3 linked regions of the Ovis aries genome follow. The main gene of each other region encodes a partner of the protein of the gene in region 3 in a complex. Links are inferred from orthologs where the notes say so. Each region holds a gene or a part of one and is shown on either strand. Other genes may lie near its edges. The genes, in order: MED25, MED24 and MED13.

Region 1 (4,374 bases), on a different chromosome or scaffold from region 3:
GAAGGGCGTTCTGGACATTCGTTCATTCGCTTGTTCCACAAAGTTTTCCTTGGGGCTCTTTCATGCCAGGCCCTGTGCTGGGTGCTAGAAACTTGAGGGACATCAGACTTGGACTTGAACCTCAAGGAGCCCCCATTCCACATTATTCAAGTCTCACCACAATCTGTTCCAGAGGTTCTCGACTGGGGCGGATTCTGTCCCCAAAGGGACATCTGACAATGTCTGGAGACATCTTTGTTTTTATTGTTTATCACACTGGGGAGGGAGGAGACCACTGGCATTGGGGGGGAAGGAGCCAAGGATGCTACTGAACTCCTTACAACACACAGGAATGCCCCCCACCCCTCCACAACACACATACAATAATCATCTGGCCCAAAGGGTCAACAGTGCTGAGGTTGAGAAACCCTGCTCTGCCCTGACCATGAATTCTAACAACCATAAGGGGGGAAAGTGAATGTGCAGTGCCTGGTCTAGCACGTGAAGCCTGAAACAAACCAAGTGTTCAACAAACATTTGCTGCAGATAACAGCAGCCCACGAATCCGGTTGTTTAATGGACTCTGACCAGACCCTGAGCTGAACACAGTATGAAGATTAGCTTCTGTGACCCTTCTCTGAGTGCTGATATGGACTACCGTTATCCCTCTGCAGACCAAGAAACCAAAACACAAAAGAACAGCAAAAGCTGAGGGAGCGCTTAATCGTGTCAGGCACTGTTCTCAACAGTCATCAACTCGTTTGATTCCCAAAGTCCCCTATAGTGTCACCGGAACTAGATCTCCACTGAGCACCATCTCCTGGTATTCATGCCCCCTCCAACACTGAACAGAACTGACTTGTATACTAAACAGAATGTGACACAAATGATGGTGTGACTTCTAAGATTTGATTATAAAAATCTTTGTAGTCTCCTTCTGCTCTTTCTGTTGGATTGCTCAGGCTGAGGAAGGCCAACTGCCATGTTGGGAGGACACTCAAGCAGCCCCATGGAGAGATATCTTAGGAATAACAGCTAGCAAGGAACAGCTAGCAAGTTGGCCTCTGGCCAACAGCCACAGGGTTAGCCACCTTGGAAATGGATCCTCTGGTCCCGATCCAACAGTTGGATGACTGCGGTCCCAGCTCATCTGACTGAAATCCCACAAGAGACCGTGAGTGAGAACCATCCATCAAAGCCACCCCTGAATTCCTTACTTAAGGAAACAAGCCACTAAATTAATTTTTTTTTTTTTTTTTGGCTGTGCCCCTCAGCATGTGGGATCTTAGTTTCCCCACCAAGGATCAGACCCATGTCCCTTGCAGTGGAAGCACAGAGTCCCAACTGCTGGACCATCAGAGAATTTCCAAGTCACTAAGCTTTAATCTGTTTTCCCAACACTGGATAAGTAACAGGATGACTATAAGTACTATTACCGTTCCCCTTTTAGAGATGAGTTCTATTAGACACAGAGGACAGGGACTCGTGGGTCTGGCAGTCCTGTTGTGGTAGAGCTGAAAAGTGGCCCCAGGCTGTCTGCACCTGCAGTGTGAACTATCAACATTGACTCCAAAGCACAGAGGCTTAGCCCCACCCCTCTTGCGCTCAAGCTTCAGTGCCCCTAGTAGGAAAAAGAAGGGCTAGAGTAGACAAGAGAAGCAACAGACAGAAAGGAGAATAATATATGAGGAGTAGGACGGGTGCTGGACTTCCCCAGGCCTCCTTGACCAGGAAATTCTTTCTACTTCCAAGCCAGACAGCAACACCAGCTGAGCATACAGAACCGACCACTGAAGTGACCTAGGGACAAAACCACAACCCCCATCGCAGCCCTTTTTAGCAACCAATGTGAGGGGCTGGATCCGGCAGCACCATTCCTCTGCCGTCCCTCCCAGGTTCCCCCAACCCTTCCGGAAGCCGAGAAAAGAGCTCACTTAATGCCATCGAGCCAGGTGACAAACTCATAGGCGCTGCTGGTGGGAGCGTGACATTGTACGTAGGACTCTGGAGCGCAGTCCACCGTGTTGAACACCACGAGGCTGTACTGGGTGCCCCCATACTGGGAGGGGAGGACAGGAGAACTTTTCATCTGGGACCCAGCTCCTTTTTCCCTCAGGGGAATCGGAGCTCCCAGCCCCTCCTCCCTCGGACCCGGGGGTCCGGACCCCGGTACTCCCACCTCAGACCCAGGACCCGAGCCCTTCCCGCCTCGGACCCAAGACCTGAGCCTCCTCCCCTCTCGGACCCATTAGTCCGGACCCCAGTCCCTCCTCCCTCAGCCCCAGAACCCGAGCCCCATTCTCCTGGAAACCAGAGTCCAGACCCCAGCTCCTCCCCGCTCGGACCCGCAAATCCCGACCCCAGCCCCTCGGACCCAGGTGTCCAAACCCCAGCCCCTCCCGCCTCCGACCCCGGAGTCCGGACCCGAGCCCTCCCACCTCGGGCCCAGGGTTCAGGTACCGCCCCCTCCTCCCGCAGACCCAGTCCGGACTCCCATCTTCCCTCAAACTCGAGAGTTCCAAGACTCACGTCTCCGCCGAAGTCCGTCTCGGCAGGAGGGCCGCCATTAAAATACCTGTGAGGGTCGGAAGTGAAAGGTCGGGGTGAGGAGAGAGTGTGGAAAACTAAACTCGGAGGGCGGGGTTGGGGCCGCGGAAACGGCACTCACTCTATGGCCGGGAGCAGGTAGTGCTTGCGGAGCCCCTCGAAGTAGGGCCCCAGATTGGCCGTGCCCTCAATTACAAACACCACGTCAGCCACGAGGCCCCCGGCGCGGGCCGGGCCCTCCGACCCGGGGACCATGCCCCGCGCCGCAGATGCCGCCGTCGCCGCCACCGCCGCCACCGCCGCTGCCGCCGCCGCCTCAGACACCGCGGGCTGAGCGGAAGTGCGCCTGCGCCGCGCGCGCCCCCGCGCGGGACGGCCTCTCGGCGCTGGCGGCGCGCTGGCGGCCATGTTTGTGCGGGGCGCCCGGGGCGGGTGGGTTTATCTCCATCCTCCTTCGCTCCCAGTGTGTGCAAGACTCAAAAAGGACCTAGAGAACTCCTTCGGGGACCAGAGGTGGAAGCTTGAATTATTTGCAGAACTTTCGAGGGCGAAATATACTGAAAGCGGCGCGTCAGACGCCATTTTTGAGGGGGGGGCGACCTTTCCGACACCGGTTTCAATGGAAGGGCCGGGAGACCTGGTTGCTATGCAACGCATACGCTGCCCTTGTTTTCCTAAAAAGACAGATTAGGTTTCTAGTTAAGTTCTTACTGGTTCTTGGGGGATGGGGGTGGGTGGGTCGTGTGAAGGGTCCAATCACAACGTCTAAAACGGGGTTACTAGGCAACGCTTTAAGGTGGCAATCAACTCTGAAAGGAGTGCAGCTGTTTTTTCCCCACTAAAAGAAGCCGAACTCTAACCCGAGTGGAGGTTGCTAAGCAACACCTGATAGTTGTTTTCTGGGAGAAGAGCCAGAAACTGGCCTAGAACATGAATACATTCCAGGTGGATTAAAAATGTAAATATAACAAATGAAACCATAACACTGTATAATCCTGAAGACTGGGGAAGAGTTTCTTATCATTACAGCAAAGCCAGAGCACGGAAAATATTGAGCTGTTTGTCCGCAGAAGACTTCATAAACCAAGCTGAAAACGATACGGTAAACTGCGGAAGTCACTGTAACATGTGTTGACAGAAATTTACTACCCAAATACGTATTACTGATCAATACAAACTTAGGAAAACAGAAATACTTTTTTTTTTTAATTGGGGAGGAAACTAAGCAGGTTTTTCCTGTACGCAAAAACATACTGAAAGTCGCTCATATGCACAAGTTAGTAAGTGCTAACACAGGGTCCAATGATAAGTCAGTTTATCTTTGTCATGTTAATTAATGCTGGAAAAATAAGTCCATGACGGTGGGAAGGTTTGGGTGAAATGAGCAGGCTCAGACGTGATCTAGTGGAGATGAAAACCAAAACAGCTTGCTCCAATGCAGTTTGTCAATATATTTCAAGGTAAAAGGGTGCATTGCTTTGCACTCAGCAGTATCACTGTTTTGTCTCATGTACTTTATTGATCCTTTTATTTTCTTTGCTGAACGCTTGTAAAGCAAATCCCAACATCGTATCATTTTACCTCTACCTGCTGGATAGGCATCTCCCCAAAGTTGCAGGTAACCACTATGCCATTAACATCTCTAACAAAATTCTTACTTCTTGGTATTGTCGAACACTTAAATCCATAATCAAATTTTCCCAGTTCTCACAAAATGTCTTTTTACAATTGTTTTATTTGCATCAAGATCCAACAATGACTGAACCTGTGTTTAGACATCTTAAAATTCCTTTAAATCTAAAGCAGATCCCTTCTTTTGTATGCTAGTGTAATTAAATTTTAATAAAA
Region 2 (3,651 bases), about 29 Mb from region 3:
TCAGCCCCGCCCACGCCCGCCCACCCCTGTGGTGATGTTTTCTCCCACCCCCATCCCCATGTAGGCAGATGAAGTGGCACGAAGCCTGTCTCAACATTTCAGCGGCCATCCTGGAAATCCTCAACGCCTGGGAGAATGGGGTGCTAGCCTTCGAGTCCATCCAGGTAGCTCCTCTTTTCCGCAGCCTTCCCTCTTCCCTAAGGCACAGCCAGTCTTTGATAGTTTGCTACATTTCATAAAAACAAAACGACCCTTCCTCCAGAAGCCCGTGTGTGGGCATTGGCCTCCCCTGTAGTCATAGTCTAAGCTACCCTCTCTCACCAGGTGACTTTGGGGAAATCAGACTTGTGGTGAAAAGAGGCTTGGACGTGGCCCCAGACCCCACTGCTCTGCTGAGTTGCTCACGGAGGCCGGGGAAAGTGATGGCCAGGGAGGGCGCGAGAGGCCCCAGTCACTCTTTTTCCCTCGCCCAGAAAATCACAGATAATATCAAGGGGAAGGTGTGCAGCCTGGCAGTGTGCGCTGTGGCCTGGCTCGTGGCGCACGTGCGGATGCTGGGACTGGACGAGCGAGAGAAGTCGCTGCAGATGATCCGCCAGCTGGCAGGGCCGCTGTACAGCGAGAACACGCTGCAGTTCTACAACGAGAGGTCGGTCCCTTCTTGAACTCTGCAGGTCTGTGGTGAGAAGTCAGCCCCTCCAGTAACCACTCTTCCTCCTCCTCTCTCTCCCTCTTTGGAAAAATCAGTCATTTATTTATGTAGCGTACAATGAATAAATGGGGTCTTCACTGCGGTGCGCAGGCTTTCTCTAGCGGCGGCGGGCAGGCGCCACTCTCTGGTTGTGGCGTGTGGGTTTCTCACTGCGGTGGCTTCTTGTGTGGCGGCACACACGGACTTGGTCGCTCAAGACACGTGGAATCTTCCCACACTAGGGGTCAAACCCGTGTCCCCTGTACTGGCAGGTGGGTTCTTAACCACTGCACCACCAGGGAAGTTACCCCTCTTCTCATACCTCCCCAGACATGCCACTTGCCTGCTCACTCACATTCTCAATCACATCTTCACTCACTGACTCAGCAGTGCTTGTATGTGTCTTCTTGCCGGCCGTGTTTATAATCCAGCATCTGCTGTGTGTGTGCCAAACTCCAGACCCCAAACGGCCAGGATTCCTGCCCTCGGAGAGCTTGAGTCCCAGGTGCTTGCTGGTGGGAACAGTCTTATCTCAGCTCTGTCCCTCTCTAGGAGCTGTAGAGCCCCTCTATAGTGTTTACAGGCTGTGGGCCTGTCCACCCCCTCCCTACCCTGCCCCCACCCCCTCTTCTGTGACTTTTTCTTCCCTGGACTTTTCAGAGACTTGGAAGACCTCCTTAGCAACTTCAGCTATGTTGAGTCAGGGGGTGTGGGTTTGTTTACCCATCCAGTAAGCTTTTTTAAAACATTGTGGTAAAAAAATACATGATCTAAAATTTACCACCTTAACCATTTTTAAGATAACAGCTCATTTTTATTTTTTTCTGACTCTGCTGAGCCTTTGTTGCTGCACGTGGGCTTTCTCTAGTTGTGGTGAGCTGGGACTACTCTTCATTGCAGTACACGGGCTTCTCATCGTGGTGGCCGATCGTGGTGGCCGCTCGTTGTGGCGTGTGGGCTGTATAGGGCGCTTGGGCTCAGCAGTTGTGACTCTCAGGCCCTAGAGTCTGGAGGCTTCAGTAGCTGTGGCACACAGGCTTTTTTACTCTGAGACATGTGGAATCTCCCCAGCCCAGGGATCGAACCTGTGTCCCCTATACTGGTGCGTGGATTCTCCACTGTACCACCAGGTCCAGCGGTAGGGTTCAGTAGTGTGTTAAGTATATTCACATTGTTGTGAAACATCTCTAGAATGTTTCCATCTTGTAGCTCTGAACCTGGACCAACAACACCCCTTCCTGTCTTTACCCCAGCCCCTGGACCCATTAAACACCACCCCTTTCTGTCCTTCCCCAAGCACCTGGCAACCGCCACCCTAGCTTCTGTTTCTGTGAATTTACTATATAAGTGAAATCATATCACGTTCATCTTTTGGTGGCGGGCATGTCTCACTTTGTGTAATGTTCCTCAGAGTTCAACCACACCGTTGCATGTGTCAGGACTTCTTGCTTTTTAAAGGCTGGATTATATTCCATTGTATGTATATGTTGTATTTTGCTTATCTGTTCCTCAGCTGATGGACACATGGGTTTCTTGCACTTCTTGGCTGTTGTGACTAGTGTTGCTATGAATGTGGGCTTGCACCAAACATTAAGTTATGAGTGATGACCCGCAAGGTAGCCATCAAAATGTCTTTTAAGGGAAAAAATGGAAACACAGCTGATATGAGATCGGGAGGGTCTTTTTCCCCTGCCTCCTTCTCTGTTCCTCCCCTCCTTCCTCATCCTCCTCCCACAAATCAGGGACTATTTTCTTTGATATAATTGATTGTGAGCACCCTAACTGCTGTCTGGGAAATCTATGGCTCCATCCTGCAGGTGGGAAAAGTGGCTATGAAAGTCGTGGTGACTTTCCCAGAGCCATGCAGTGTTCCCTGAACGGTTAGCTCTCAGGCCCAGACCTGCATTCACCATCAGAGACTCCTGTCATGAGGAAATTCCTGGATGTACTTACATTTGCCCAGCTACCAAGGGCCGGGAAGAGTCTTGTGGGGCAGCCCTTGGGCCCCTGTCCTGGAAGTAACAGTTTACTTTGGGAGGAAGCCAAGGCCGGGTGGGGAACCCCCCTCGAGCACAGCCTAGAGGGAAGTGATTGTATTTATCAATATTGACGCCAGAGGATTGGCAGGCCCGGGCTTGGAGGGTGGGGAAGTTGGAGGGAGAGACTGAGAGAGGAAAAAAAAGTATGAATATATTGCTGAAATGACCCGAGAGGCAAGTGCCCACCAACCCCCTGTAGGCTCGGTGCTGGCACAGGGCTGGTGGGGTCACATCTGCTCAGGGTTTGCAACTTCCTCTTGTCCCCTCCCTCCCTCAGCACAGAATGAGGCTGATTTCCCGGTTCCTGGTTCCGTAACCCTAATCCTGGGAGGAGTGGGGCCTGGGTGTTTCCGCCCCGACTCCCACCCCCTCTGTTGAACCTGTACCACTGGCCCTCCCCCGCCCCCCCCCAGGGTGGTGATCATGAGCTCCATCCTGGAGCACATGTGTGCGGACGTGCTGCAGCAGACCGCCACGCAGATTAAGTTTCCCTCCACGGGCATGGACACCATGCCCTACTGGAACCTGCTGCCCCCCAAGCGGCCCATCAAGGAGGTGCTGACGGACATATTTGCTAAGGTGCTGGAGAAGGGATGGGTGGACAGCCGCTCCATCCACATCTTCGACACCCTGCTGCACATGGGTGGTGTCTACTGGTTCTGCAACAACCTGATTAAGGTACGGGAGTGCTGGGGGTGGGCTGTGGGAGCAGGCATCCTCAGACTGCCAGAGACAGGCCTGATGAGACTGAGCTAGGTCTGGCTGGCTGGCTCCCCAACCCTCAGCCTGGCGAATCCCAGCTCAAGAAGGTTCCTTGGGCTCCAGAGGCCATTCCTCACCTGGGGCGCTCCTGGGCTCTGAGGGGAGCTGTGGGATGTCATTGCCCTGTGTTGAGGGTCCTCAGCTCCTGGGTCCCCCTCC
Region 3 (2,673 bases):
TTGTATAATGAATTAAACAAGAAGAATAGCCATGTTTATAGTGGCTCCCATTCATTACATAAGTCTAAAATATATTTCATCAAGGAAGAGACCTTGGGAAAATAAGGTAAAACCAACAGATTTTTTCCATTTGGCTGACCGATTACCTGTTACTTTTTAGGCCTCTTTGCACCTCCACGTGCCTTCAGTGCAATCTGACGAGCTGCTTCACAGTAAACACTCCCACCCACTGGACTCAAATCAGACTTCAGATGTCCTCAGGTACGATTCTTTTTACCATTAAGCTTGGAAAGAATATCATGTTGATCCTTTCATATTTTTCTCATTTGGGGCAGTAGTTTACAGTTGTGTTACCTTTGGATCCCTAGTTGAATTATTTATCATTCAGAATGAGTGCTTTCCTTTCTAATACATGTTATCTACCTCTGAGAACAATTTTAATGAAAATCAGTTTTCTTTAACCTCCATAAGACCCTCTATTTCATTTCATACTTTAACTTTTTGTTTGTGTGACTTTTAATCTTATATGCCATCTTCTAATTTGCTTCAAAAATTTACAATGCAGGTACATACATGACTTACTTAGTTTACTTGCTTTTCAGGTTTGTTTTGGAACAGTACAATGCACTCTCCTGGCTAACCTGTGACCCTGCAATCCAGGACAGACGCTCATGTCTCCCAATTCATTTTGTGGTGCTGAATCAGTTATATAACTTTATCATGAATATGCTGTGATCTTCATTTGATGGAACTGTGCAAGAAAAGAACAAGGAAAAAGATTTCGCTGCAAGATTAAGTTACAGTTATCTTCTCAGTGAAAGTCATTTGTGATGGGGTCTAATTCTTATTACTTCAACAAATATTGTTTTGACTTACGGGGAGGGGGCGATAACCCTGTTATTTTTCATTGACTATACTGAACTCTTTAGGATGATGACTGATCATACACAACGTATTATAACATTTTCGTAGCAAAATTAACCTTTTTTTTTCCAGTCACAGTATTTGTGAAAAGTAATGAGCCATAGTACCCAGTCATGTTAAATGAATATTAAAAGCATGGAGAAGGAAACATGAGGAACAATGAATTTCAACATATGGCTTCAGAACATCAAGATGTTCTTGTATTGGATTATAGTATCTAGTATTCAAAAATGCCTGCATCTCTTATTTATTGTAAGTTTTTAAATGTATAAATTGTCTTATATTTCTTAACCTCTTTTATAAAAATTTTCCTAGAAGGTTTATACTGCCTTCTTGCTTTAAAGCAATTGGTCTAAAATACATGTAATCGTCTTAATTAAAAAGTTGCAGTAGGGTCGCTTTTAGAGTATTATTTTTTTGTAAGGGGGTGGGTGGGACAGTAAATTTGTATTGTCTTGATGTACAGTTTAATGGGGATAGAGGGGAAATAATGCCCATACCATTGTGTGTGGAGGATTTACAGCTAAGCTGTAGTTGCAGAGTACATGTACAGTAATGAAGTTCACTGTGTTTATAAATTGAAAAGGTACCGGGTCTTACAACATTTTATATCGATCACACCTTTACAGAATAACATGATGGCAATATACAAGTGATATTGTTAGGTGGTTTAACTTAGAATAAAAATGAGAATTCTTCAGTTATATTTTGTACTATGGTTTAGGGCTATGACTAATATTTCAGGCCATTTCCAGTGAAAGAAACTTAGTTTTACAAGAAAAACATTTGCTACTGAATGCTTAAACTAATTTTGGTGTTTAATGTTACATGCTTAAAATTTTTTGTTTAACAGTGGCACATCTAGGCATGGGAGTATTATTAATTATGAAAATTATCTTCAGGATCTGCTATAGGTTGAAATTTAGCCCAGCTCTAGGCATTTTACAAATTATTTTAAGAGCAGTCACTCTTGATTGTTTGACTTTTTTTTTTAATTAAAGATTGGGAATGTGTGTGAGAGTATGCATATGTATGGGTGTGTGTGTGCAATCAAACTGTGGTGTAAATAGATCTCAGTGAATTCTGGTATTCAGACTATTCCACTAGTTAAAGAACCATTTTCTAAACTTAGCCTGTTTCCTTTTGCCTTTTTTATTTATTTAATTTTCTTGGTTTGGAGATGGCAGTCCCAAACACCAGAGTCTGTACTTTTCTATAACACAGCTCAGAAAAGGCAGGGCATATGCCAAGGAGGTTCTCACCTCCCTAAAGAAGGGACTTGAATTTTAGGGACTTTAATTCACCCCTTCCTTCAATACAGCTTTCCCTTTTCTTGTTTGCACATGCCAAGATAACTGCTTTTATGCAGCCTTTATCCCCTTAAAAAAATCCTTTCTACAGTGCTGCTCACAAGAGAGTCCAAGTTAGCCTCCTACCTGTGTAGCTGACTTGAATTCACAGTCGCCAAGTCTACCTGTCTTTCTTGGAAGCAGTCTAGCTAAATTCTGAATTTGTATGTTCACTAATTCTCTACAAGGACAAAATGGATTGTATTTACAAAACTGTAATTTGGTATGTTTTGTTATTTTTTTTTTAAACTGAAACTTGTTTTGTAAATACTATATGCTTAGCTTAAATATCACTTTCTTATGAAAAATATAACTTCTTCAAATTGTGTATATTAAAACATTAGCAAGTCTTGTTTTTCCTATAGAGAAAACACAATTGGTAACAAAGGTTTTCAATCAT

What was found.
Region 1: MED13 (region 3) and MED25 share a complex: the UniProt entries of both Homo sapiens proteins name them as parts of the mediator complex. The link is inferred for Ovis aries from reciprocal best matches to the Homo sapiens genes MED13 and MED25.
Region 2: MED13 (region 3) and MED24 share a complex: the UniProt entries of both Homo sapiens proteins name them as parts of the mediator complex. The link is inferred for Ovis aries from reciprocal best matches to the Homo sapiens genes MED13 and MED24.

The regions. Positions count from the first base shown.
Region 1 is NC_056067.1:55,910,197-55,914,570, reverse strand, and holds the start of MED25 (mediator of RNA polymerase II transcription subunit 25), read right to left. Parts: upstream 2,877-4,374; 5' UTR 2,782-2,876; coding exon 2,648-2,781; intron 2,555-2,647; coding exon 2,509-2,554; intron 2,039-2,508; coding exon 1,914-2,038; intron 1-1,913. UniProt on the Homo sapiens protein: Component of the Mediator complex, a coactivator involved in the regulated transcription of nearly all RNA polymerase II-dependent genes.
Region 2 is NC_056064.1:40,087,827-40,091,477, reverse strand, and holds part of MED24 (mediator of RNA polymerase II transcription subunit 24), read left to right. Parts: intron 1-64; coding exon 65-164; intron 165-473; coding exon 474-649; intron 650-3,143; coding exon 3,144-3,408; intron 3,409-3,651. UniProt on the Homo sapiens protein: Component of the Mediator complex, a coactivator involved in the regulated transcription of nearly all RNA polymerase II-dependent genes.
Region 3 is NC_056064.1:10,833,129-10,835,801, forward strand, and holds part of MED13 (mediator of RNA polymerase II transcription subunit 13), read left to right. Parts: intron 1-160; coding exon 161-261; intron 262-602; coding exon 603-735; 3' UTR 736-2,673. UniProt on the Homo sapiens protein: Component of the Mediator complex, a coactivator involved in the regulated transcription of nearly all RNA polymerase II-dependent genes.